Linked DNA regions of Kluyveromyces lactis. The protein of the gene in region 2 interacts with the protein of the main gene of each other region in a pairwise test. Links are inferred from orthologs where the notes say so. Each region holds a gene or a part of one and is shown on either strand. Other genes may lie near its edges.

Region 1 (2,644 bases), on a different chromosome or scaffold from region 2:
GAGCATATATAGAGAGGCAAACAGTGCCTATCTTGATGCGTTAATGTGCACATATTTACTGCGCTCGTCCAGAAGCCCATCGCTTTTCGCGATTGGGCTTCTGGACTGAAAAGACGTGAAGTGTTACCCGGTCATTGTGTTTTCCGGGTAACGAAAATCGTTCGAGGCTTTGAATCAGCAAATTTACCGGCCGTTGCTATTAAGTCCAATGGTTTATACCCTTGAAGCCACCATTACTATACACCATTTAGGGTTCCTTTTTCCACCTTAGAGCCGTGGATTTGCATGTTATTGCGTGGATATGATGGTTCACTCATCTGCTAGACGAGTCATGGATATATAAGACACGCATAAGCCAGATGTCTAACTAGATGCATGGAAGAAAGGTTGGAAGGAGCCGTTGGCTGTTAGGCACGTGACCCAACATTCTATAATGGCAGCGTCAGTTAAACAATCAGGTATTCTTCCGTCGTATGACGAAGCAGTCGGACAAGGTTCGTCTACCGGTGCTTCTCGGCATCAAGAGGCATCAAATGATGAACCAAATGATGAACCAAATGACGAATCAAATGATGCGTCCAATGATATACCAAATAATGCCACCAATTCCACCACTACCAGTAGCTGCAATACCGGTACTGATATCGACCAGCTTCCCTGGACGTATCCTCCATGGTATTACTGTAGAAGGTGCGGGAACACCGGTGTAGAGACCAGGACGCAACGCAGGTGTAGAACATGTTGGTCAAGATTCAATAGAAGGCAGTTTCCAGCAAGACGTGGTCTTATACTCACAGTTGTGCTCTTAGGTGTAGCTGTAGTAAAGCATTTGGGTAAACATGTCAGCAATGCCAGCCATGCCAGCCATGCCGCCCATGCAACGGATTAGGAAGAGATTCTACATAACATGTACACCCAGGTAAATAATTTAATTTATATTAGCATTGCAACGCCCATAGTCAGATACTCCTAACCATATGAAGTTGCTTGTCTCTCTCAGGTGTCTGTTGATTGATGACAGATTCCTTTGTCAGTAGTATGAGATCGCCAGAGCAGAGATATGAGTTTGTTACCCGGATATTTGTATATATGGTCCGGGTAACATGAACTGATCAAGGCTTTGACTTTGATGCCCATTAGAACCATTAGTAGGAGCATTGGCAAGAGTGGACCCTTGTCTGTAAGTCCGCAGTTACTCACTGGCTGCATCCAGTAGTTATCAATGGCTAAAAGCCCAGTTTAGGATCGGGATTCGTCCACATTGCAGCCGTCGTGCTATAGGGTTTCCTCATTTTAGGTGCATCTGCCAAATAAATCACGTATATATAAAAGATCAAGATATATAAGGGACATATATTTAGTCAAAGAAAAGTGTATGGAGAACGGGATCGGGATCAGTAAAGAACAGAGATCAGAGAACCAGTCACTTTGAGAATACTTCAATGAAATCAGAATCAGATATACAGCCAGATGAGCATCTTCCGTCGTATGATGAAGTGCTGAGACAAGATACTGCTGCTGCTTCGCAGCAGCAGCAGCAGCTCCCACCAAACCCTCCACCACGTCCAACACAACCACCAGCAAGACCGCCCCGGCCAAGCAATGCCATACCAGCGTACCATCATTCCACTAGTACCTTTTCAAGCAGTACCAGTACCAGTACTGGCAATAAGAAACTACCCTGGACGTACCCTCCAGGATATTATTGTAAAAAATGCGGGAACACTGGCACCAAGATCAAGACTCAACAAAAATGTAAGAAATGTTGGTCGAAATTCTACAAACCCCCACCTGCACAACCACCACGTCCAAGTGCAGGGCCAAGACCTGCGTTCGTATACTCTAATGTCACGATGCCACCACAGAATTTCGTCATAAACTCAGCACCTATCGTTGTGCGTCCCGGTGACAGTCGCATAGGAGGCATGATGTGTAACAATTGCAATGGGACTGGTAGGGTACGATTCTTCTTGGATAAAGAACCGTGTCCCGTATGCTACGGTCTTGGCAGGATTCTTACTGGACCAACCTACTAGTTTGATCATCTGATTCGCCCAAACTCTACACTGTTTAAGTAAAATTGTACATAATTAATTTCTATTCATTTCATGTTTGTCCATTAACAACATTCAATAGCAGGGTACTGGCTGAGGTAGCACATGATAGAGTAACTAGTCATGTCTAATTGCTGCTTCTCATGGTACGGTGTTTCCACAGTTTTACTTTTTTTCCTTGTATGACAAAAAGTGAAAAATTTCGATGAGTTCGAGTTATAGGAAACAAGAGGTATAAAGCGTACCATATGCATTTGTTCCATTGTAAAGTTTTCGATTTTGGGTTGGCTCTTTCAAGCTTTAACTGATTGGATAATTCAGTGAAAGTTTGTCGTTTTGTGTGTTAGTTTGTGCGTACGTGTCTCCTTCTGTCGGCTTCTCTCAACAAGTCCCGTTGTCTGACCAGTATCACATATTTATAGGGTCTTTCTTTTGCATGGATTAGTAACCCATATCAGGTAACCCATACAGCTAGCTATATTCAATAATGGAAAACAAACATATCTCGCACGTCTCTCAGATTGAAAGACGTGCTACTCCTTTGAACATTCGTCCAGCTTCGCCTTATACCTTAAATCCTACTGTGGAAA
Region 2 (3,363 bases):
TTAAGGTAAAGCTACAAAGATTCAAGAGTGTGAATTTGGATGATGGTTATGAAGCTGGCAGTACCACGTCCAGTTTTAATGGATCATCAATTGCCTCGTACAATAAGTCGAAAAGGAAAAATAAGTCATTTTCAATTTCTACCATGGATGACAAATCGAGTGATATTGGTGACGCGGGTGATACTTCCTTGGATCAAAGCAGTGACGGTGACGAAGAATCAACTTCAATAACCAATATACCTTCATCGCCACGATTAGGTGATCACGCCGAAGCTGCTGGTCATGGAAGCCATCAGTTTCCGGCTACGGATAAAGACTTCCTGTATTACGAAGATGAAAATATGGTCAAAAGACAAGACTCTAGTCATCTGGTGGGCCCGTTGAAATTTAACCATCGCTCTGTCAGTGCACATAACCATGAATATGATGATTTAATGGTTGCTGCCGTCTCTTCTCCTAAATTCAAAAAATATTCGTGTTCTTTCAACACATCATTTGAACCCGTATCTCCGATGAACAAGCTGCAGCTGCCATCAGTTAACCAGCAAAATTCAAAGACACCTATTAGGGAAAGCTCTGTCACTCCTCTGAAATTCAATATTTTTTCAACACCTAAAGATTTCAATAAAGATGGTCTGAACCCACCGGCGTCTACCAGAACTTGGCAAAGCCCGTCTCGTCTATTTGAAGATTATTATGCGTCATCACCAGTGTTTTTCAGAAACGTAATCAATCAATCTATAGATGATTGTATGATACAGTATGACACAGAAAAGAAATGTATTGATTCTCCCCGAAAGTTGAGTCTCAGAGATCAAACTTCTCCCAAGGAATCCAGTCAATCAGGATTAATTGATCACTCCAAATATTCATCAAACATTCTTTTTGGTGTTGATGTTTGTTCAGTGTGGAAAAGGGCGATTGCTCATTGTAACAGCAATGATGAAGTAGATAGCTATCGAGAAGAGGTAACAAAAAACGATTTGGACCCTCCTTTTGATGGGATGAACTAATGTTTGCTTTCTTTTTCATATAGAGTCTGTCGTTATCTCGATGACCATATTTTTTGTTTTTCTTCACAATCTGCCTGACGCTTGGGTTTCTTTATATGGCTGAGTTATTTGTCTCCTTTATTTCTTTCAATTTATTTCATTCCTGCGTTCAATTATTGTAGTGTACGCGCCTTTCTTTTATTCATTGGTGTCCTTTTTAAAGTATTTTTATTTGCAATAGTTATTGCTAATGTATGTATCATTATATCAATCATATTTAATTCTTACATTTCCTTCTAACCGATATTTACAATCAAAGGATATTATCCTGATAGACCATATGGCTTTGTTATTTGATCTGACTTCGTTTCATCGTTGTTTAATTAGCTCTGAATAGTGCTTCAATATTATGCCATACTTTGTAAATTACTAAAATACGATAAAAAGAAGCTAAAAGCAGATAATCCGAGTTACCTTCTGAAAAGTATCAAACATTAAATGCTGGAGTGCAGAGGAATCAACCAGAACTGTCATGAAGCTAAGTGTACCTGAAACTATATCGAATCCTCGTGATTTTCTTCACACGAGTGTTCCGCAACTTACTGACCTCGATTCACTTCTTCGATGTCATATCTGCAAAGATTTTTTAAAGGCATCGGTCTTGACGCCATGCGGTCATAGTTTCTGTTCCATTTGCATAAGAAAGTACCTTCAGAAAGAGAGCAAATGCCCATTATGTCTCAGTGACCTCACTGAGTCTATGCTACAAAAAGAGTTTCTAGTACAAGAGATTTGTTCAAGTTACGTGAAACTGCGAGGTTCTTTGCAGAAACACTTGACAATATCATCTCAGGAAGAGGAAAAAGATAATGAAATAATAATATCTGACGAGGCAGATACATCTGTAGGTACAAAGAGGGGTACTCCAGATAGCCCATCTTTATCTTCAGTAAGTACTAAAAAGAGAAAACATGATGGTATAACAACGTTGTTAATGAAAAAGAAAACGGATCATCCACAGCGGCAAGAGAAGAAGGCACAATGTCCTATATGCTCCAAGCACCTGCCGCTTTCAGAATTAGAAGGTTCGCATATTGATGAGTGTTTGAACAAAGGTAGTAGTTTGGAGAGATCGGATTCTTTTGAGATTTTGGATGAACGTACACCCTCCCCTTCGATGGAATCTTCGCATCAACCACTAGAAGAGAAGACTAGCCTGCCGTCTTCACATTTGCTAGAGGTAAAAGAAAAGAAGGATATCACGTACCATAACGAGAGGTACTTAAATTCTGGGCTGCTGCAGCAAAAGGAAAATAGATTACCAAGATTGGATTTTCAGTCTTTATCTATGACACAATTGAAACAGAAGCTTGCTTCTTTGGCTCTACCATCAAATGGCACCAAACAGCAAATGGTAGCGCGATACAAGCATTACGAAATGTTATGGAATAGTAATTTTTTAGATTCAATTGATCCTGTTGACGAAAATGAACTTAAACGTCGTCTATCCAGTTGGGAAGCTAAGCACAATACAGACCATTCTTCTGATAGCAATAGCATAACTAACCTTCTCAGGGGTAATAAACGTACTAATGCTATAAGTGCCATGATCAAACTTTTTAAAAGCGATAGATTTGATAGAAAAGGTTGGATGAGACATCACACGTCAACGTTTAAAGCATTAAAATTGGAAGCACAACGTTCCGATAAACTTGCAAAGATGAAGAAGGAAGAGCTCTCCCAGAAGAGTGATGCGAACTCAGAAGTAAGTTCGGAACCTATACTAAAGATTGATCAAACGTCAGAGAATAATTAATAGAATCTAATATTCTCAACTTTTCATTATTTATCGTATATCAGTATATAGTATCTATAATTCATCTTGAATGATGTCAGGAGATTCATTAAGGATATCTTCTCTTCCCTCTAAATTGCGACCTCCAGATTGCGATGGGGCTGATTGTACTCTTGTTTCCTCGACATTGCTATCACTTTGGGCACCCATAATATTTTCTTCGATTTCAGCGTTGGTAGGGTTTAATTCAGTGTCCAATATGTCCGAAGAGATTACAGGTGACTCAAAAGCTTCTATTGATTCAATATTACCGACAGCCTTAAGCTCGTTTAAGTCTGCAGCTGCAATTGAATCATCCATCGCCGATTATGAACTTCCCGATGTTGTTAATTCTTCGGAAACAGTAACTATGAATTCGCTTTCCTGATCCGCTGTTTTGGTAATGGAGGAAGAAATAGTAGTGCTGGATGAGAAGCTCGATTTAGCTTCTGTATCCTTTTCGGCAGATGAAATGTCTGATTCTTCGAGTTCTGTTTTATCAGTGGCTACAGACAGTTCAATTTCTGTCACAACGAC

What was found.
Region 1: the proteins of RAD18 (region 2) and KLLA0_A09757g interact in a two-hybrid assay, tested with the Schizosaccharomyces pombe proteins (2 studies listed by BioGRID). The link is inferred for Kluyveromyces lactis from reciprocal best matches to the Schizosaccharomyces pombe genes rhp18 and hua1.

The regions. Positions count from the first base shown.
Region 1 is NC_006037.1:854,798-857,441, reverse strand, and holds KLLA0_A09757g (uncharacterized protein), read left to right. Parts: upstream 1-1,442; coding exon 1,443-2,036; downstream 2,037-2,644. Other genes in the region: KLLA0_A09779g (uncharacterized protein), read left to right, coding at 434-889; FOL2 (GTP cyclohydrolase I), read left to right, coding at 2,542-2,644.
Region 2 is NC_006039.1:765,292-768,654, reverse strand, and holds RAD18 (E3 ubiquitin-protein ligase RAD18), read left to right. Parts: upstream 1-1,524; coding exon 1,525-2,808; downstream 2,809-3,363. Other genes in the region: HCM1 (Hcm1p), read left to right, coding at 1-1,013; GTPase-activating protein SED4, read right to left, coding at 3,154-3,363. UniProt on the Schizosaccharomyces pombe protein: E3 RING-finger protein, member of the UBC2/RAD6 epistasis group. Associates to the E2 ubiquitin conjugating enzyme ubc2/rad6 to form the ubc2-rad18 ubiquitin ligase complex involved in postreplicative repair (PRR) of damaged DNA.